Linked DNA regions of Mus musculus. The protein of the gene in region 2 interacts with the protein of the main gene of each other region in a pairwise test. Links are inferred from orthologs where the notes say so. Each region holds a gene or a part of one and is shown on either strand. Other genes may lie near its edges.

Region 1 (7,487 bases), on a different chromosome or scaffold from region 2:
CTTCAGAGTCATCAATGGAGGCCACAGTCGTCTCTCCTTGGGAGATGAACGCATAATCGTAGGGGTTGTTGGTGATCAGCAGCATGTCTACAAGTGGAAGGAATGTGGTTCGGGTGTGCCACAGCCCCTGGCTATCCTGGGGGCTGCTGGCTATAGCAAACAGGCCAAGAGAGAGGCTCAGATAGGGCTTGATTTGACCCCCAAGATTGAACCTAGCAGTATCATAGGGCCCAAGGCATACTGCCTGAACCCAGTCTTAAGCAGAGAGGACCAGGTTGCCATGGAAATAGCTGGTCTCAGTCTGACTCACCTAGAAGCTCAGGCTTTTTATTAGACAGGATTTGGTAGAAAATGTGATAATCTCTTTCTGCTTTCAGCTGGAAAATAACCCTGGATTTTTCCAGAAGGTCTGTGAACAGGCAGATAGGAGAGGAATGAGGTTAGATACAAAGAAGTCAAGGGGAAGGGACGGGGACCATTACAAGCAAAGGACAGAGGGAGAGACCAGTGTATGGATACAGAGGTCACACATGAAGGTGGAAACAGAGACCCAGAAGGGAAGAAAGCATCTTAGAGAGAAACCCCAAAGAGACATGCACTGAGAGCAGACAGGAGAAGCCAGAGAAAGCCTCAGGCAGAAGTAGAGACAGAAAGAAAAACTGCATACTGCAGGAAGAGGTTGGGATCGGGCTGTAGAGCCAGGATGGACTCAGCCTAAATAAGCCCCAGCAAATTCATGGAACTTACAGGTCTCTATGTCTGCAGATGCCAACTTTCCTGTTGCCCCAAAATGGATTCGGATGAATTTCCCCTGAAGAGATGGATGGGAGAGAGAAGCAATGAGCCTGGGAAAGGCTCACATTTGAGGCCATCCTTCGAAAGCCAGCACAAGTCCCAAGTTCAAGGTGGAGTATCACTCACAAATCGAGAGGAGTTGTCATTCCGAACTGTCTTGGCATTGCCAAAGGCCTCCAGAGCAGGGTTGGCTTGGATGATTTGATCTTCCAGGGTACCCTGGAAGAGGTCAAGAAGGATGGGATATGAAGGCTGCCTACTCTTTTTCTGTAATGCAAGCCTTTACATGACAGCGGGCCTACCTTGCCTGGGGTCTGGTCCTTCTTGCTGCGGTCCCCAATGGCGGCAATAACAGCAAAATATTGGATGACCCTCTTAGTGTTGACAGTCTTCCCAGCTCCGGATTCTCCGCTGTTGTGACAAGCAAAGGCTTAATAGGCAGTAAAGACACTGGTTAAGACCAACGAGCCTCAAGCGAGGGAGAGCACCTAGTCTAGTAGAGAGAAGGTGCTCAGATCAGGAAGTTGTTAGGGACTGGGACATAGGATCAGGTTAACCAGCAGGAAGACGGTGCCACAGAGGACAAGGAGAGGAGAGGGCAGTTTGGGAAGAGTAAGTGGGGAGGAGAGAAAAGGTTTCTAAAGTGAAAGATAAGGAAAATGAAGAAAGGCGATACATGGGCTTTTCCAAATGAGCTTATACATGAATGAAGAGTCAGAGGGAAATGGGTGAGGAGGCAAAAGGAGAAAACAAGAGAAAGATGGAAAACAGAAAGGGAGAGAGGCACAAAGAAAAGAGTTGGAGCAAAGACCAGAGAAGAAAGAGATGGGCATGTGGGTGGAGAGAAAGAGGGCCATAGGTGCATGCAAAGGAGTCTGGGTACTCTCAGGGGATTCTGGGATCAGGGATTCTGGAGCTATACTCACGTGATGAGGATGGACTGATTCTCCCGATCTGGAAGAGAGAGGAGGAGAGGCAATGGGTTGAGGGATGCGAGTCCAGGTGAGAATTCAGGTTGAGGGGACCCAGGTCTGAGCACCAGGCTTACCTGTCAGCATGTACTGATAGGCGTTGTCAGAGATGGAGAAGATGTGAGGAGGGGCCTCGCTCCTCTTCTTGCCCCGGTAGGCAGCCACCACTTCCGCATTGTACACAGGCAGCCACTTGTAGGGGTTGACGGTGACGCAGAAGAGGCCCGAGTAGGTCTGAGGGTAAGGAAGAGCAAGTGAGGGGTGGTTGTCAGAATTAGAGAAAGACCCCAGGAGACAATGGGAACAAAGGGCGAAGCGCAGAATCAGTCTGGTTTTATAACGGAGCCAAAGGAGCAGGGGCTGGTGTAGAGTGCCATACTCCTTGGACACAGAGCAGGCAGGTAGGTGGCTTGGCTTCAGGAGACTGCTCTTGCCCAGGAAGCTCTGGGTTCTGGGTGATGGACCGGTGCTGCACTCACATAGATCATCCAGGAAGCGTAGCGCTCCTTGAGGTTGTACAGCACAGCCGGCTCATGCAGGAAGGTCAGCATGGCCATGTCCTCGATCTTGTCGAACTTGGGTGGGTTCTGCTGCATCACCTGGTCCTCCTTCACAGTCACCGTCTGGAACAGCCCACAGAGGCCCTCATGTCAACCTGTGTCTGCCCTGCTCTATCGGCATGAGGGCAGCACGGCAAGGTATGGAGTTGGGGGCAGGGGGGGGGTGTATAGCTGAGGAGAGACTGGAGTTAGATGTTGGGAGTAAGGAGACTTTTGGGAGAGTTTGGACCCCCACCCTACCCAAAGGACGGGAAGCTTGGGGGTCCTCAGGTGTGCACGCCTGTCCCCTCTCTGGGCACCCTAGGTATGGGGCTCTCTTGAGTGGCCTCCCCACACCAGTCCCGACACCTACCTTGCCATTCTCCGTCTCAGCAGTGACTTTGCCACCCTCTCGGGACACGATCTTGGCCTTGACAAACTCTTCTTTGTCATCGGGCACAAAAACATCTTTCTTGAGGTCAAAGGGCCTGGTCTGTGCCTCCAGCCTCTCCTTCTCAGACTTCCGCAGGAAGGGGGCTGCAGCCCCAAATGCAGCCATCTCTGCATCCGCCATGGCTGAGCCTGGGGTGAGGAGCAGCTGTTACCTATATGCCTTCCCGCACCTTGGGCTCTCCCGCTCAGTGGCAGCTCCCAAATCCAGTACTGTGCTCAGCACTCAGGAGTTTACCCTTCTCCAGGCTCACCCCTAAACCAGAGAGCAGCCTGGCAACTGTGCCAAGGCAAGGGGGCAGCTTTACTTTCGTTCACTTGGAGCACTCTTTGAGTGTGTCCTGACCGTATTTCGGGGAAAGAACTCTGTATCAATCTCTGACTGTCAATAGTCCCTGCCCCTCACTGGCCCTGAGTATGAAGCTTCTGGACACCAGGCCATTGTCTCTGAGCAGGCAGAAAGGAACCTGCCAGGCTTTGGGCTTGGGGCTTTGGGCTTTAACTATGTGCAGTTTTACCAGATCTCCCAACATTTGGACTCCAACTTTTCTCACCTTGGATTCTCAAACGTGTCTAGTGATAGAGAGGTAAGCCCAGGCCTGTAGAAGAGCTGGAGAAAGGGAAGAGACGGTGTCAGGACAGGCTGTGGCCCAGCCTGGCTTCTGGCACCTCCCTCCTCTCTGGCTCTGTTCTTCAGCACGTGGAAGAGTGATTAGCAGCGCTGGTCAGCCTTTCTGGTCACTGGCATCCTTCCTTTTCAAGCTCTATCTCCTTTCTCCCAAAGACTAACAACCTCCGAGCCCCAGTCCTCCGCCCTTAGGGGCTGTTCTACCCTTACCTGTACTCCTCTGCTGAGGCTTCCTTTCTCGGAGCCACCTACAACACAACAATAGTCACAATGCACTCTTGCTGTTCACTCTCGCGGCTGCCCCTTGGGTACGTGAGGAAGTGGAGGCTGAAGCCTTACTTTTCTCAGAGCACAGGACAAGTAGCAGAGTCCAGATTTCAGACTCGAGCCTCATGATTCCAACAGCCCTCTGACTACCCTCGCACACCCCAGCCTCCCCTGCACACGCCCTGATAAATACACATGCCTTCTGCTTGTGCCCACACTTGACGTGAATGTAAACTTCCTTCCATCCTCAGCACACATGCTCCCCACAGTGTTCATGTGCAAACAGCCCAGCACATAGGCAGGCTCCTGTGGCTGCGTGTTCTTCAGCATACGAAGACCAGAGCCCCCCACACCTGCATGTCTGTGAACTGCTATTTCAGAGACTACACGCAGGGTCATATCCTACATAGTAATAACCCCTCTATGTACAGTCAGACACTTCCCCAAACATAGGCAGGCTCTAGTGTTCACAGAACTGGCTTCCTTAAGAGTTATTCTCCATCATTCTGTCCCTCTTCTGCCAAAATGCTTGTAACCAGGCATGAGGTACCTTATGTGATAAAATATAAACTGATCCTTACATTTAAGATATGTGTGCTTGTACTTGCGCACGCACACATGCACGCACATGCTCACACACTGCTATTGCATTCTGGGCCATATGCACATATAGATATCCACCCCCCACCTTGGAACACTTGGGCTCCCACATTCCTACGGCACAAGCATGCGTATTTAGATCTGCACAGGAGTGTTCAATGATAACCTGGTACTACATGCCAGAAGCCCGCTGCTGTTCTAGAGGAATCACTTCCTGAACCTGGAGCCCCTTATCCCAGAGGGAAGCCTCCAGCTCCCACTCCTACCTGAGGGTAGCAAGTAAGGAAACAGCAGGAGAATGCTCAGAGCCAGACCTGGTCTCAGGGGCTGTATATATGGGGCAGCAGGGTGCCCCATCCCCCACCTGCACCCAGTCCCTAGCCAGATTTAGAAAGGGCTGTTGTCACTAAAAGCATTTCCCCCGACTCTCCCCCCCTTCCCTTGTCCAAACAGTACTCCCCCCTCCTCCCCCAGCTAGGAAACAATTGGAAGTGGTCGTCATTGTTGTGGCATGGCATGTTCAGGGTCTGAGTTCCAGGGGGTGGGGCAGCTTAAAGTGAAGCAAAAATATCTCTAACATTCCACGGCTCACTAGAGAGTAAGCTGACCACGACCACCACGACCTCAAGCAGGCAGGGCCCTGGCTGGCCTGCAAGAGGGTCCTGCTGACCCTGGCATTGCTGCCCCCTTAGAAGCCTTGCCCCCAGTGCTAGCCTGGCCCTATTTCCAGTATCCTCCCCACACTCCTGGCTTGAGTCCTGCATCTGTCTGAGGTGGGAAGGGGTTGGGTCACAGCAGCTGAGAGGGGCAGGGCAGAGTTGGGGGCATGGCTCTGGTATGGTGGTTGGATTGGAGCAGATAGAAGGTAGTAGGTTCCTGTTAGGACCAGAGAGTTTGGACACAGGAATTCTGGCTCACACACTGCTTTCCTTGGGCCAGCAGGCAATGTGTCCCTGGGATCATGGTGCTTCAGAGCCAGGCAGATCTTTAGTGATCCATTTAAGTGCTTTGCTTTAGGGGGTGGGGGTGGGGGTGGGAGATGCTTCCTCTAAGATTGCACAGCTTCAGCGAAGCAAAAGTGGGGAACCTCAGCAGATAGGAAGTTGATCCCAATCAGGGGAGGAGGGCTAGGGATGCTAAGAAGTATGCCAAAGCTGTTTGGGGAGGAGGACCAGTTGCTCATGGTCCTGCTTTAGAGCCCTTTCCTGTTCTAGCGCTGCCCTGCAGATTTTCGAGGCGCAAGGCCTGAGCCTCCCAGGGTTACCCAGGGCTGTAGATGATATGGCTACGGCTGCCTGGTCCACCTGGCCTCTGTCTAGCCGTGGGTGCAATCTTTGTTCTTCCTAGTGGAGAGAGGGACAGGACAGGAGAGACCTTGTCTTCCCCTGCAGGCCCCGGGAGCAACGCTGGCACCCAGCCTCGTTCTTGTTCTTCCAGCTATAGAAGCTTCACTGCTCGGTGTCTAGGCAACAGACTCAGGGTTTAGTTTGAAATCCCCTTTCTTCCCAAACACAGCTCTGAGCGCATGCGGATTAATCCAGTTGATTAGATGTCAGTTTGAAGGAGAGAGGCAGGCCTGGGGGATGGGCTGCCAGCAAAGCAGGTACATTGTGAAGGTGGGGTAGGCATGGCAGGGAAAGGAAAAATCCAGGAAGGGCTTCTGTGGGGTTTCTTGGTAACCAAAGCAGGGGTAAGGATGCTGAGCAGCTGTGTGCAGTGTGCAGGGGGAAGGCAGGGGGAAGGTGGGGGGAGGACCACAGACTGTAGGGGCTGCACCTCAATGCAGCTGCAGCTCCGCAGTCCTCAGAATGCAGTTGCAGTTGCTGAAGAACTGGTCTTGCGACCCTGCCAGGTATTAATAGAGCAGCCTCCCTAGGAGGAACCTCCAGGGCCGAAGGAAGGCTAAAGCTCTCCCAGGCTCTTCTTTTTTTTGGGGTGGGGGGTGGTTTGAGACAGGGTTTCTCTGTATAGCCCTGGCTGTCCTGGAACTCACTCTGTAGACCAGGCTGGCCTCGAACTTAGAAATCCACCTGCCTCTCCCTCCCAAGTGCTGGGATTAAAGGCGTACCACCAGGCTCTCCCAGGCTCTTCTAGCTTTCCCAACAGAAGAAGGTGCCTTCCCGCCATGCTCTGGGAGAGGGCTCAGGCACAGGTGCACGCACTGAGATGGATAAAGAAAGCTTGGGACTCAGGCGAGCCATTTTAAAGCCAGTGTCTTTGAGTGGGGCCAACCTGTGTGGCTGTGGGATTAGGTAGCCATCTCTACAACTTAGCCACACACCCTTTCCCCCTTCTTTCAGGTTTGGAGGGCTTTGGTCTAAAGGTGTTTTTGGAGTATTGTTCTCAACTCTGCAAGGCAGAATTTAAAAGCCAGTTTCCTAATTTTAAGATCTCTGTCTCATATCCCAGATGTTTGGCCTCCTGCTTGCTGCTGTTGGCGGTTGGGTGGCTCTTCCCATCCTTTCCTATGTGAGTATTCATTGAGGGCCAACTTTGAGCTTGGCACTGATGTGGTCAATGGAGATACGTAACAATGAACCAAAGCAAAGACCCCTGCTCCGGGAGCTTTGTCCAGCTGATTGTAGCAGTGGACCCAGGCTTCAGAGTACAGCTTGTGCTTTGCATGCGTGCGTGACATTCCTAGTGGAGAGAATGGGGGCCCGAACCCATGTGAGGAGTGGGTGGTGATGTGGAGCACACTACAGAGTGACAAGAGACAAGACAAAGGGGCAGCAAGTGCTATAAATAAAAAGGGAGGCTGCTTCGCTGAGGTCGACCAAATAAGGCCTGGACAGAAGGAAGGTGATCCGCCTCCCGAGCCTCCCCTCCCCAGGCATTGTGCCTGCTTTGTCTGGGCTCTGTCACCACACTGATCAAATGTCAGGTCCAAATAGGAGCCATTTGCTGTGAACATGCCAGTGGAGACCAGCGGAAAGTTTGCTAAAATTACTGCTGGGAATTAGGGGGAGGTGGGGGTCTGCAGTCTTGAACTAAAGGAGAACTGAGCGTGGAAAGAGAATTCTGAAAGGAATCTCAAAACCCAAAGGGAGAGGCTCAGGAGGAGGCAGAAGAGGTAGGGCGTCTGGCCCAAGGGGAGGAGGAGGCCTTAGTTGTCTGAGAACAGGAGAGGGGACCCAGGAGTGGTAGCCAGCACTTGCCCCTAGCTGCCTGTATCCCCTGACCTTGGAGAACCTATCCCTGGCTCCACATGGGCCAGGATTAGGGAGCTGAGCTAGT
Region 2 (6,687 bases):
CAATGACAAGTATGGTTTGGCAGCAGAGGGCAAGCGACACACACTGACAGTGCGGGATGCGAGCCCTGATGACCAGGGTTCCTACGCGGTCATTGCAGGCTCCTCAAAGGTCAAGTTTGACCTCAAGGTCACAGAGCCAGGTAAGAGCTTGCTGACCTCGCCCCGGGGCCCTGAACTCAGAGTCCGGGGCATGGACTCTGGGCACTGGCAATGCTGTAAGCCAGAAATGCCCGTTCTGCTCTTCTGCTCCAAGATCTCTCTAAGCATTAGTTGTGGCTGCAGCTCTTTCTGCACTGTGGAGGTGGGAACCCGAGAGCGGTGTTCTAGGAAGGGTCCACTCCCATAGCAGACCCAGAGCCTGGTCACCCAGATAAGGACTTGGCTAGCTGTATGTGTTAGTGGGGAAATCCTAAGAGCTTGGTGGTGGTGGTGCTGGGTCAAGGCCAAAGCTCGGAAAGGGACAACAGATGGACCACAATGCTGCTCAGAGCAGAAATCTGGACATGGGACAGGTGGATCGTGAGTGCTGGAGGACGAGAAGCAAGTTGGCTCCTCTTCTTGGAGTGAGGCCAGTGGCTAAAAGAGCCTAGGATACTGCTGTACAAGTGGAATGTATCTTAGGTGGGACATAGGTCTGATATCCGAGTGGAGGGCTCTAATTAGAAACTGTTCCATGACCCCACCTCAGCCCCTCCAGAGAAGGCAGAATCTGAAGTTGCTCCAGGAGCCCCCAAAGAAGTCCCTGCTCCAGCCACTGAGTTGGAAGAAAGTGTCTCAAGTCCTGAAGGTAAAGAGGGCTGGACAACGAGGGACAGGCCAATGGATGGGGAATATCCCAGGACAGACCTCAAAAGCCTTCTTTTCAGGGTCAGTCTCGGTAACCCAGGATGGCTCAGCTGCAGAGCATCAGGGAGCCCCTGATGACCCTATTGGCCTCTTTCTGATGCGACCACAGGATGGTGAGGTGACCGTGGGTAAGTGGGAACTTTGTGCTCATACTCGGGGTTAGGGGAAAGGAAGCCCCAGAGGACCAAGGTCGGAGAAGTCACCTTTCTCTTGCAGGCGGCAGCATTGTCTTCTCAGCCCGAGTGGCTGGGGCCAGCCTCCTGAAACCGCCTGTGGTCAAGTGGTTCAAGGGCAAGTGGGTGGACCTGAGCAGCAAAGTGGGCCAGCACCTGCAGCTGCATGACAGCTATGACAGAGCCAGCAAGGTGGGACGCCTGGTCAGGGGCATGGGGAGCCAGGGAGTACAGGCATAGGGAGGCTGGGAGACTGGGAAGCAGGGCAGAGCTGAAATGTTCAGCCATACCAGCTGCACACTGCACAAAACAGCTCCCAAGTGGAGCCACCTGCCATCTGCTTGGACTTCTATCATGGTCATGTGCAGGCAAGAGCCCGTATGGGTCTTTTATTTTATTTTTTTTTTATTTTGTTTTTTGAGACAGGGTTTCCCTGTGTAACCCTGGCTGTCCTGGAACTCACTCTATAGACCAGGCTGGCCTTGAACACAGAAATCCGCCTGCCTCTGCCTCCCAGAAGTGCTGGGATTAAAGATGTGCACCACCACTGCCCACCCCATCATGGGTCTTGAAAGGTGGATGCTTTCTTTAAATTATAGAAGCGCTCTGTATGTGTCAGCCCTGAGAAGTGAGCTTGGCAGGCTTTGCCACACCCCTTCTCTTTAGGGACGCAGGGCCTCTCCTGTCCCAACCTTCCTTCATCCTCCTGCTCACAGGTCTACTTGTTTGAGTTGCACATCACAGATGCTCAGACCACTTCTGCTGGGGGCTACCGCTGTGAGGTGTCTACCAAGGACAAATTTGACAGCTGTAACTTCAACCTCACTGTCCATGGTGAGGGAGTCCTGGGGTCTCGTCTGGTCTTGTGGTCTTCATGGGTCCTGGTCCCTTGGGCTTGTCTCTATCTCCCAACTAGAGAGGGTGACTAGCTGTGGCCAGAAGCCAGTGCCGGTCACCCGAGGTGTGAACGAAATGCATGCTTTCAGGAGAATCGTGGGAGCAAGTCAAGGGTGGGATGCTGTTTCTGTGTCCCTGCCTCACACAGTTTGAATGTGAACTGGGAGGTGAGTGGGAGGCAGCCCACTGTGGAGACTGAGATGAGAAACTGCCTCATCTCTCTAAATATGAACCCTGGGAGAAGCTGAGAAGATGGAGTCTTGTGCTCCCACTCCCTGAGGTCACCCCCACCACTACATTCTCTTTGCACACAGAGGCCATTGGTTCTGGAGACCTGGACCTCAGATCAGCTTTCCGACGCACGTGAGTGGCTCTCTTTCCTTGGGAATGGGGGTGGGGGGCGGGGAGACCAGTGTGAGGGCTGAGGGCCCTTGACATTTTAGATAGACGCATGTGGGGGGTCCAAGCTGAAGTCTGTGGGGGGCAAGGGCAAGCTGCCAGGTCACTGAGAAACTAACTTCCACAGGAGCCTGGCGGGAGCAGGTCGGAGAACCAGGTACCCTTCCTGTCCTCCATCTATCCCATCACAGAGATGGGTGGGAGCCCCACCTGACTGCACCCCTTCCTCCTATACCACTCCATCGCCTAAGCCCCTGCTAGCTCTTCAGAGAAGCCTCATGGGGTCTCTCTCTTCAGTGACAGCCATGAAGATGCTGGGACTCTGGACTTTAGTTCCCTGCTGAAGAAGAGGTGAGTCCTTGGGTCACATCTTCTAGGGCAGAGATTAAGACATGGCATTGAGATTTCCAAGCTGTGTGTCCCTGAACAGAATGAGGCACTTCTCTGAGCCAGTTTCCTTATCAAGGGGGAATCTTGTCCCAGTGTGGACAAGAGTTGTCTTAATAACCATCCTTAGTCCCAGTGTGGACAAGAGTTATGTCTTGTGCCCCTCAAAACCTCCTGGTGAATCTACCATAGACCATTTCCACAGATTCTGAAGGCCCTAAGAAGTAGGAAGAAGGTTCCCAAAGCAGTAGCAGTAAGGACCTAGCCCTGACTTCATTTCTTTTTCTGTCCTTTCTTTCCCTCTCTCTCCATCTTCCCTTCATGGCTACTGCTGCTGCTCCTGCCCAGAGAGTAAGGCGTGGGGCTGGGAGGCTCTGGGTCTTACAAGAGGATTTTAGCTTTGGGGACATGTACCCTTTCTGCTGGGGTTTGGGGGAACTCACACACACCAGGGTGACATTCTTAAGGCTTGGAATGGCTCTGACACTGTCTGGTTTTATGAAGAATGAGACTCCTGCCCTGAAAAGTAGGGGCACTGTATGGGGAAGAGGGAACAAGTGAAGGCACTGGGAAGGATCCCAGTCTTGGCAGGGAGGTGTCCAGACTTCTAATGTATGCCTGTCTTTTTCCTTCATCTGGAGCAGCAGTTTCCGGAGGTGAGTTGAGGTTGGGCCCTCCTCAACACCCTAAGCCAAGAGTCCTCCCTAGTTCAACACCCAAGACTCTTAGACTGAGAGGGGAGGAGAGGGGAGGGGAAGGGAGGGGAGGGGACGGGAGAGGAAGGGAAGGGAAGACCTCATCCTGTGTCCTGGAAGGGACAAGGAGGGACTGCCTTGAGCTTCCCAGTGGGCTGTGGGACACAGGGACTCAAAGCTGGAGGCACCTGCTGAAGAAGACGTGTGGGAGATCCTGAGACAGGCACCGCCGTCAGAATATGAGCGCATCGCCTTCCAGCACGGAGTCACAGACCTTCGAGGCATGCTGAAGAGGCTCAAGGGCATGAAGCAGGATGAAAAGAAGAGCACAGGTTAGCCCTTTCCACACAAGGGAAAGCACAAGGCACCAGCTAGCTCCCAACAAAGGAGCCGGGCTGGAGAACAACACACAAAAACCTGTAGTATGGGCAGAGGGAGCCTCTGGGGGCAAGACAAGCAGTGGTAGCAAAAAAAACAATTTAAAAAAGAAAAAGTTCAGCAAGGCACTGCATGTTTTACGTAATTGCCTAGTTAATTCTCCCAACAGCACTGCCAAACAAGGCATAGTATCAGTTCACTTTTACAAGTGAGGAGACAGAGACACAGAGACTCCAGGAACTAGCTCAAACCCCACAGCTGTCTTCAGGCCCAGCCTGAGTATTTGAGGGCTTCTGCACAGCCCTTCAGCTGCAGAGCTGTTTTTACCAACATGGCTGCAAGGGGAGGCATTGTTGTGAGGTGGCCCTGGACTCCTCCATACCACACATTGGTGGGTTTGTGGCCTTGGGTCACCCGCCTAAGCCCTGTTCTATCTCTACAACCTGAGACCCATGACAATGATCTGGAGAACTGGGAGGTATGGCGCTAAGGGAGGGGAAGCCAGCAGGGATGCTACGGTGAGCTTGGCATTACCAAGAGGAAGAGAGGACGTGTGCTACATTCCTAGCTCTCACAACAAGCTTCTATCATGGTGGATGCCTCTAGCCCTGCCCAAGGGCTGAGCAGTTAGAAAGAACCTCAAGGAAGACAAAGCAAGACAGACAGAGATGAGAAGACAGGGTCATTATGGAAACCCGGAGGGTGTGTCTGGGATACGCAGCAGGGGGAGGAAGATGCAGGCACCTGCCATAGCCGCTGTGGTTGTGCTTGGGGGAAGGGTGTGGGCATTGGGGGTAGCTGGGCTGAGTTGTGGGGTTCAGCCTTTCAGAAGAAGCTGGAGCCTGCCTACCAGGTAAACAAGGGCCACAAGATTCGGCTTACTGTGGAACTGGCTGATCCGGACGCCGAAGTCAAGTGGCTTAAGAATGGACAGGAGATCCAGATGAGTGGCAGGTGTGGCAGAGGTGGGGCAGGGTTCTGGGTCCTGGGTCCTGGGTCCTGGGGTTAAGGGGGAGCCGTACTGCCTTGTATATTTCTGTGAGATCTCTCTGACTCTGGCTCCCAGTCCCTGTTTGTATCTTCCCCCACCTTTGGAATTTAATTCCAGGTCATTTATCAATTTCTCTCTCTCTCTCTCTCTCTCTCTCTCTCTCTCTCTCTCTCTCTCTCCTCTGTGTGGAACATGGCAATGGCCCCTTCTGTTTCATAGCAAGTAAGTCTCCTCCCCGACAGCTTGAAGCAGCCATGGGGTTGGTGAAAGTCACCAAGCCCAAGAGGGGCATCCGTGCCCTCCTGATATGCTGCTGTGCCCTGCCCAGGTACATCTTCGAGTCCGTCGGTGCCAAGCGCACCCTGACCATCAGCCAGTGCTCACTGGCTGACGACGCAGCCTACCAGTGTGTGGTGGGGGGCGAGAAGTGCAGCACGGAGCTCTTTGTCAAAGGTGGGCCAGGGACCAGGGAACCCTGGGAGGAAAAGAGGCCACAGGGGACCAGCTCTTATGTCGCTCCTCCCTGGACAGAGCCCCCGGTGCTGATCACTCGGTCCCTGGAAGACCAGCTGGTGATGGTGGGTCAGCGGGTGGAGTTTGAGTGTGAGGTCTCAGAAGAAGGGGCCCAAGTCAAATGGTGAGGGCAGGAGCATGGGGGTGTGAGGTGGGGCTGGAGAGGGGGACATCTGCCCAGAGGAGACACTGTCCCATGCCTGGCCAGGCTGAAGGATGGGGTTGAGCTGACACGTGAGGAGACCTTCAAATACCGGTTCAAGAAAGATGGGCGGAAACACCACTTGATCATCAATGAAGCAACCCTGGAGGATGCAGGACACTATGCAGTACGCACAAGTGGAGGCCAGTCACTGGCTGAGCTCATTGTGCAAGGTGAGGGCCCCTAGCCCAAGCCTGGTTGGCCTCATGGAAGGAGCAGGCTTTGGGATAGTGTTTGATACCATGACCTCAGCTTCCTATCTGTGAGATAGGTATGCTGAAGTATACCCTGCAGAGAGTGTTAGGAGGTCAACCCCTGAACCTGAGTTTCCTGTATAACTATAATATCAAGACACACATGTGTGTCCCGTAACTGCACATACCTAACCAGAGGCCTGCATACCACTGCCTGTGAGCCCACATGTCCCCACAGAGGACCACACTACACTCACATTCCCCGGGAGCTCACAGGCTCTGCCCATCCCCCAGAGAAGAAGTTGGAGGTATACCAAAGCATCGCGGACCTGGCAGTGGGAGCCAAGGACCAGGCTGTGTTTAAGTGTGAGGTTTCAGATGAGAATGTACGCGGCGTGTGGCTGAAGAATGGGAAGGAACTGGTGCCTGACAACCGCATAAAGGTGTCCCATATAGGCCGGTGAGTGAAAAAGAGTCAGGTTAAGGAGGGAGGCCAGACGACTCATGAAGGGAAGAGAGAAAAAGAGAGGAAGAGAAAGTTACAGAGGTCAGACATGGGAGGGAATCACATGGGAGTCACCCAAGACAGAAGGCAGAGATACAGAGGCAAAGGTTGGGAGACACTAAGGGTGAGGTGCCCTGCCATTCCCCAAACTGGGCAGTGGCAGTAACCACTGAGGAGGTGGCACTGGCTCATCCCAGAGCCTTTGAGGGCCGTGCTGGGCTCCAGTTCAGAGATTACCCACATCAGTGTTTGCCTGTCTCCAAGGTCCCTGACATGGGGTTGCCCCTGTGCAGACATCACGTCTGCACTGCTGACCTCAGAAAACACACAAGGGAGCTGGAAAACACAAAATTTGATAAAGTAGCCACAGTTTAAAATATGAGGACACTAAGGAGCTAGGGTAAGGCACAGCTCCCTGAAGTTGGGGGTGGATGGAGAGGCCAGGGTTGTGAGCTCAGTTACCACTGCCCTTCCAGGGTCCACAAACTGACCATTGACGATGTCACA
Region 3 (7,117 bases), about 23 Mb from region 2:
TTTAAAGTATTTGCAGCACATTCAGGCTAGGATGGAGGGGGGAAAATGGAATTCCTCTGGGTTGGTGAGCTGCCAACATTCAAATCTAAAACATATGCTTCCCCTACAACACACTGCTAGGAACAGGTGGGGCATGAGTCTCTACAATGTACTAATAGATGATCCAGTACGGACTGCCAAGACATAGACAACTGTGTTCAGTGCCTGTTTGCAATGAACATTTGTTGCAGCCATCAGGAATATGGAGATATATCACAAAAAGAATGACACATGTTTAAATGAAAATTAGCCTACTTTGTTTTGTTTTGAGATGAATCTCACTCTGTAGCCCAAGCAAAAGTTGAACTCAAGTTAATACTCCTGCCTCAGTTTCTGAGTACTGGGATTGCAGGTGTGAGCTAACACACCTGGCTCATACTTTTCATTTATGGACTAAAATCAGATTCCAGCTTCATCTGTAGGAAAGCTATTTGGTGACATCAAGCGTTCAGTTACCAAAATGAACAGAGTTGTGGTTGCATTGAATGGTAACTGACTTAAGTCTAGTCTATCAATAATGGAACTTATTAGAATAAATTGGCTCTCTTCAGTAATCAGGCATGCTCTATTCACTAACTGCTCAGTCTCATCCTCTACTGTGAGGTAAACTCGGTGTAACAGCCTCATTTTTCACTAGAGCGCCTTGGTCTTTCTCCTTACTGAGGTATCAGGAGGTGAGACTGAGCTGAGTAAGATGGCAGATGCTGACTCGAGACCCCTGCCATGCTTCTAAGTGAAATGGGTATTACTCTGGGTGATTGCAGAATTTCTAGAGAAGCTGAGGCTCAGCACCAAAAGCCATCCCTTACCAATGAAAGAGGGCTGGAAGAGAGTCTCTGGACAGCGGAAGCGCTCGTTGCCAATGGTGATGACCTGGCCGTCAGGAAGTTCATAGCTCTTCTCCAGAGAGGAGGAAGATGCAGCTGTGGCCATCTCGTTCTCAAAATCCAGGGCGACGTAACACAGTTTTTCTTTTATGTCACGGACAATTTCACGTTCAGCTGCAGAGACAGAGGGCTTCATAGTCAAGCTCTGAAGAAAGGATCAAATATGGGGAAGTAGGTCTATCTACCAATGAAGCAAAAGCAACAGGCATATGCTGTGTCAGATAACACACACACACACACACACACACACACACACACACACACTTACCAGTGGTGACAAAGGAGTACCCGCGCTCAGTGAGGATCTTCATGAGGTAGTCAGTGAGGTCCCGACCAGCTAGATCCAGGCGCATGATGGCATGGGGTAAGGCATAACCCTCATAGATGGGAACATTATGAGTTACACCATCGCCAGAATCCAGAACAATGCCTGTTAGAAAAAAAAAATAGATAAGAGGGTGAAGCACTTCGAACCACTGCTTCAGCCATAGAGAAACCGGCTTCTGCCTAGGTATGGGAAACAATCAAATCCCTCAATGCAAAGAATAAAAATGACCAGAATGGATGGATACTAACTCTGAAGGCAGTACAGTTTTTCTTACTAAGTATCGTGGTAGGAAATCTTCCTGGGGACATTTTCAAATGGCTATGTCTCCTATCAGCTATTAGCATGTTATATAAGCATCCATGAGTGTTTTTCTTGGGGCCAATCCAACTTAAGATGTGTCTCTCTGTTTTAATTCAGACTCTGCAGGAGAATGTGTGTCCTTGAATATGTCTACCCAGGGGCTGTGAACACAGCATATCACATATCTTAAATAAGGAGAAGAGCTAACTCAACGGGTTATTGGATCTCTTACAGTAAATGTTCCTGAAATTAGCCTCAGGGAATTATTGCTACCCTTTTCTCCCAGCATAGATACCTTGCTAGAGAGAGTCAGGGAGGGGACCTTCCCTGTGTCAGGTGAGGATTCGGGTTCACAGCAAAGTCAGTGAGTTGAGAATATACGTAATCAGTGACCGTCCCCTAGCCCAAACACACCTGTGGTTCTTCCAGAAGCATACAGAGACAGCACTGCCTGGATGGCGACATACATGGCAGGCACATTGAAGGTCTCAAACATGATCTGGGTCATCTTCTCACGGTTGGCCTTGGGGTTCAGCGGGGCTTCAGTGAGCAGGGTTGGGTGTTCCTCTGGGGCCACACGGAGCTCATTGTAGAATGTATGGTGCCAGATCTTCTCCATGTCATCCCAGTTGGTGATAATGCCATGTTCAATGGGGTACTTCAGAGTCAGGATACCTCGCTTGCTCTGGGCTTCATCACCTACATAGGAGTCCTTCTGTCCCATACCCACCATGACACCCTGTAAAAAAGGAGATGAGAATATCGTGTTCCCACCAAGGCAAGAATATGGTCCTGGCCTTGTTAAGCTATATCCAGTTCTCGAGGCAATGAATAGCTGTAAAATACTAGAAAAAGTAAAAGCAGAATTTGAAAGTTAGGCATGCTTGTTCATGCCTATAATGCCAGCATTCAGAAGGCTGAAACAGGCCACAGCTTAAATTTAGCCTGGCCTATAGAGTCAAGTACCAGGGCAGCCTGGGACATAGTGTGAAACCCACCCCCAGGAGTTAAGACATAATCCTAATTTTAACAAATTATTTAGACTATTGTTATATACTTCATCTCCACAAGAGGAAGTGTGTCGATTAATTTGATTACAACTGTGGAGGAGAGAATAAAGGATTTACTGAGGAAGCAGAGTCTTATCTTGTTCTTGGAATAGCATAATGACTTCATTAAATTACTAAGCCTATCACTGATGTCACCTAAGAAGTAGATGGCTGTCTTTTGGCACAACTGAATTAATGATGTCATTACATCTTCTAGTCCCCTTAAGAAAAGATTTTGACACTCATCCACTGTACATAGGCTGACAGGCTGCTATCTCTCAGATGGAAAGTCAAACCCTCAGAGTATCCTGGAGTAGCCTTCACTGGCCAAGCCTGAGGACTCTAGCTCTGCTCTCTGGCAGCCTGTCTGGCCAAGCATGCGACAAACCCAGCGAGTGTGGCATTTCTTTTAATAAACAAGGTGGAATGCCACTATCGCTATGGCACTTGTTGCTCTGGTCACATCTGACTTCTAAAAATGCAACACCCAGGAAGGAGATCAATTACAGCTTTGGGGAGTCCTGTAAAACTGGCTGTGAACAAGAAGGAAGAATGTAGATCGGGAACTAGTTATTTCCAAGTAGTTATATTACTAGCAGTTAGCTCCATTGTTTAAACTAAACTGAACAGACGAAGGGCCGAGGGCCAAAAAGAAATCCAGGTTCAGAGACACAGGACACTGCAGTTGAAAACCCACAGGTCCAGAATGAGAAACTGGTGGCCTTTCACAAGAGAGAGCTGACCCATCAACAGGTGTGCCACTGCAGTGGACTTCTTGGAATCTGGAGGTTGGCAGGGAGTTGCGTGGGATGGCTTGGATGTGTAATTCATCATTGCCTTTCATGTATGACTTAAGGAGTCTCTGAACAGTCAGGTCAAGAGAGGCACTTCACAGATTGCTGGACTGGAGGGGGGGGGGTGTCAAGAAGGGGCCCAGAATATGGATGGAGAGCAGGCTAGGAGGGACGGAGAGTGTTACCTGGTGACGTGGGCGACCCACGATGGACGGGAAGACAGCTCTGGGGGCGTCATCACCCGCAAAGCCGGCCTTCACCAGCCCGGAGCCATTGTCACACACCAAAGCGGTGGTCTCCTCGTCGTCACACATCCTGGCACAGCTTTGGTGGGTTCTGTAGGCTAAGGAAAGAAGAGTGGTCCACACTCAGTGCTTGCAGGGCTGGCCTGCTCCTTTAGAGGGAAGAGTGACGGAAGGGCCCAGTGGGGTTATTGGATTGTAGAAAGTAAGGAGACAATTGTATTCTTCTTTATGCTCAAGACCAAAAAAAAAAAAAAAAAAAAAAAAAAGCTAAAAGCGTTGGGAGAAGCAGGGAGAGTGTCCCTGTGGATGACAGAAGGCTGGTGAGACCCCACTCACGCTCTTCTGGTCAAGAGGCTCACCCTACACCCTGGGCTGCAAGGAGCCATGTTCTTAAGCACAGGGAAGTCCTTTCCTTTCAGCTCCTTTCAGCTCTCCACATTTTCACCAACAGAAAACCCATTCTCCCTCCCTAGCCATACATGGGGACTGGGTGAAAGTGCTAAAGATCAGTGAAGCCACAAAAGCTCAGGAGGTGAGATGGAGTGAGCTCTTGTGCTGTGGAGGTTTCATGAGATCCAGAGCAACAACAAAAAGTCAGAACCTCACCAAAAAGTTTGCTTAACAAAACAAAACAAACAAAACCAAACCAAAACGAAACGAAACGAAAAAAAAAAAAAAAAAAACTAAAACAAACAAACAAATAAAAACAACAAAACCCTCCAAAACTAAGAGTGTGGGATCCAAGAGCACAAAAGCACAGTGCTGACAAGGTCCTGCAGGGAGCAAGGCTGGGACTCACCGTGCTAGGGGCGGCTGGATTCAGCTGGGCTGGCGCTGGTGGCAGGCACTGGGTGTCAGTCGCCTGGAGCGCAGCTTTATAGCTCTCTGATGGACGGGGTCAGTTGGAGCAGCCGGGGGCAGGGGTGGGGGGCCCCTGATCTGCCACCTTGCCTTATTTGGTCGCCTTAGCACCATCTAGGACCGCTGAGGCCATTCTTGGAGCCAAGGGCAGGGTAGAGGATCAGCCAGGGGGCTCCCAGACCATGTAAGGAAGGGGAGGGGGCAGTCAGAGCAATGGCCATATAGGGAGCTAGGGAGGGGCAGGCCAGCAAGGGGTGGGGGACGGGGAAAGGCTATGTGATGCCAATGCGCCCCTTGGGGTGGGGGAGCTCCCTAGTTGTGGAGTGGGCTTATTGCTCTTCAGCCCTTCCAAACTAAGGGACAATGAGTCACACACACACACACACACACACACACACACACACACACACACACACACACACACAATGCCGGAAGACTTGGCGCCCTGCCCTTGGAGAAGGGTCCTGACAGCTGGGCTGGGGCTGCAGGGGACAGACAGCAGCTTCTCATCTTCCAGTACTGGGAGACAGAGGAGCAGAGTCATAGGCACAAAGAGCAGCTTGACAGGATATTTGAGTACCTGGATGCAAAAGGGGCACCTGGGTAGTGCATCTTCTGGTCTCCTTTAGCCTGAGCTGGGACTATGCTCATCTAGATGGGAAAGCCAGAATTCACCAGTCTCGGACCCACTGCAGACATGGTCTTGAGTTGGCAGAGAAGAAGCTGAGAAGGGTTGTCTGAGGGTCTAGCCAAGTCCAGCCCAGAGGCCAAATAGTTCTCATCCACTCTGTAAGAGTTTTGCTCAAAATCAGATTTCAGTCTATGAGCCACCACCGGGTCTTCAGATGCTAAAATAAATGGAGGCACTGATACCAAAAATATCTCAGTTACTTGCTGGCAGATAGATGGGCATCTTTTAAACAGGCTTTGATAAAGTTCTTCATCCCAGGTAATGACCCACCTTAAAAAGCAAATGTTTTTGTGGAGAAGTTCATAGCCACTTAGGATAAGAGAATTTACCAACCCTCCTACACGAAGCGTGGACCATAGATAAACAGCATCTTCATAACTTGAGTGATTTAGAAATACAGTATCCCTGACCCCGCCCCAGAGTCAGATCTACTGTATGGCAAGATAAGATGTCCATGATTAGCATTGAAAGTGTGAGAAGCATTGCTACAAACGGGAGTCATCTCCTTCGTGGAGAACACTTTGAAGGAACTTTGCATTTTTTTTTTTTTCAGAATGAAACAGAAAGATAGCAGTGAAGAGAGGGGGAAGGAACAGGAGAGAAAAGGACACAGGTCACTAGCTTGCCCTGGGGTGCCCTGTATTCTTGGTTCTTGACTAGTGCTTGGACTTCTAATGCTGTGCTTTTCCTTCAGTTCACACCAGTTAAAAATAGAAAACTGGGCACCGGCATCTCTGTCTAGAGTGGGCTTGGATTGATATGCTGAGCAGGACTGCTGATTAGATACTTCAGGGGCCGGGCAGTGCTGGGTCCTCCCCTCAGAGCTTCTCAACCATGTTTGGGATGGTCTAGGGATGAAACTGCTGGACAGCTGAGCCATGGAGACTGGGGAGAGGCCTGCCTGGCTGAGACCAAGCCCTGCTGTACCATCTGCATTTGACAGTGAGGATGCCCATTGACAGGAAGCAGACGTAGAGAAAAGGAGAATCAGAATGATCGACAGGCTTCAAATCCTACCTCTAACACTTAACTACGTTCCGCACGTTTGGTCTCGGGCAGGCCAGTTAACTCATCAAGACCCCATTTTCACCCCCCTGAAAAGTGGCATAGTAACTCAGTTCTATTGAGTTACTGAGGACTGGCCCACAAAGAGACAAGCAATGTAAGTCAGACGCAAGACAGACTGAACCTGCTCTGTCACCATTCGATACTTTTAGAGGTGGGATTAGCTTTCTGTTTGGAAAAATTGGGTCACTACCATTCATTCCTCCATTCAACAATGTTCTATTGATTATGAAGCAGAGTTCAGTGGTAACTAGCACACAACAGGATTTATCCTCAGTGGTAATTGTGGAAGTCAGAGACGTGGAACATCCTTGGAAGGGAGAGGTGGTTTCACTGGGTTATTTAGAAATGGGCCAGAAAGCATCTAAATGGAGTTTCACAGATAGCCTTTTTTGAAATATCATTTAAGTTTTTGTTTTATTTATTTTTTTTTTTGGCATCATTGAAATATATTCATATAGGCCAGGATAAGCCCCCCTACAAAATGGGTAACAGAAGATGACCTTGAACTCCTGACATCCCAATTTCTACCTCCTGAGCGCTGAGACTGTAGGTGGCCTAATTGTTTCTAAAGTAGAATGGATCTGAAGTTCCTGAACTTGCGTGCAAGCGTTTGACAGAGGCTGATGAGAGATTCCTGTCACTGTGTGTGTGCCGAAGTTCTCTGGAACTGGGACCGGTGATATTGATCTGACCCTCTGCAGTGTTCCGAGGGCTTGCTTACCCACTCCAAGTCTGTGAGTCCTAATGAAGCAGAGCTAAGTCCGCTGAAGACCACCTTTGGGAGGTAATACGCATCCTTGAGACATTTTTAAAACTATGTTTTATGGTCCATTGAGTATATTTTAATTTTTTAAA

Evidence for each region. The genes of interacting proteins can lie anywhere in the genome.
Region 1: the proteins of Mybpc3 (region 2) and Myh7 interact in a two-hybrid assay, tested with the Homo sapiens proteins (2 studies listed by IntAct). The link is inferred for Mus musculus from reciprocal best matches to the Homo sapiens genes MYBPC3 and MYH7.
Region 3: the proteins of Mybpc3 (region 2) and Actc1 interact in a two-hybrid assay, tested with the Homo sapiens proteins (2 studies listed by IntAct). The link is inferred for Mus musculus from reciprocal best matches to the Homo sapiens genes MYBPC3 and ACTC1.

What each region holds. Positions count from the first base shown.
Region 1 is NC_000080.6:54,989,995-54,997,481, forward strand, and holds the start of Myh7 (myosin-7), read right to left. Parts: upstream 4,556-7,487; 5' UTR 4,517-4,555; exon of another isoform or gene 3,632-4,516; 5' UTR 3,594-3,631; exon of another isoform or gene 3,366-3,593; 5' UTR 3,310-3,365; exon of another isoform or gene 2,888-3,309; 5' UTR 2,880-2,887; coding exon 2,679-2,879; exon of another isoform or gene 2,390-2,678; coding exon 2,246-2,389; exon of another isoform or gene 2,001-2,245; coding exon 1,844-2,000; exon of another isoform or gene 1,750-1,843; coding exon 1,722-1,749; exon of another isoform or gene 1,207-1,721; coding exon 1,098-1,206; exon of another isoform or gene 1,015-1,097; coding exon 922-1,014; exon of another isoform or gene 812-921; coding exon 748-811; exon of another isoform or gene 410-747; coding exon 311-409; exon of another isoform or gene 88-310; coding exon 1-87. UniProt on the Homo sapiens protein: Myosins are actin-based motor molecules with ATPase activity essential for muscle contraction. Forms regular bipolar thick filaments that, together with actin thin filaments, constitute the fundamental contractile unit of skeletal and cardiac muscle.
Region 2 is NC_000068.7:91,119,290-91,125,976, forward strand, and holds part of Mybpc3 (myosin-binding protein C, cardiac-type), read left to right. Parts: coding exon 1-140; intron 141-688; coding exon 689-787; intron 788-866; coding exon 867-974; intron 975-1,062; coding exon 1,063-1,211; intron 1,212-1,735; coding exon 1,736-1,853; intron 1,854-2,230; coding exon 2,231-2,279; intron 2,280-2,442; coding exon 2,443-2,472; intron 2,473-2,612; coding exon 2,613-2,666; intron 2,667-3,050; coding exon 3,051-3,053; intron 3,054-3,346; coding exon 3,347-3,358; intron 3,359-3,565; coding exon 3,566-3,729; intron 3,730-4,596; coding exon 4,597-4,729; intron 4,730-4,985; coding exon 4,986-4,988; intron 4,989-5,094; coding exon 5,095-5,219; intron 5,220-5,297; coding exon 5,298-5,403; intron 5,404-5,487; coding exon 5,488-5,654; intron 5,655-5,969; coding exon 5,970-6,135; intron 6,136-6,656; coding exon 6,657-6,687. UniProt on the Homo sapiens protein: Thick filament-associated protein located in the crossbridge region of vertebrate striated muscle a bands. In vitro it binds MHC, F-actin and native thin filaments, and modifies the activity of actin-activated myosin ATPase.
Region 3 is NC_000068.7:114,048,321-114,055,437, forward strand, and holds the start of Actc1 (actin, alpha cardiac muscle 1), read right to left. Parts: upstream 4,556-7,117; 5' UTR 4,442-4,555; intron 3,741-4,441; 5' UTR 3,712-3,740; coding exon 3,583-3,711; intron 2,294-3,582; coding exon 1,969-2,293; intron 1,357-1,968; coding exon 1,195-1,356; intron 1,041-1,194; coding exon 849-1,040; intron 1-848. UniProt on the Homo sapiens protein: Actins are highly conserved proteins that are involved in various types of cell motility and are ubiquitously expressed in all eukaryotic cells.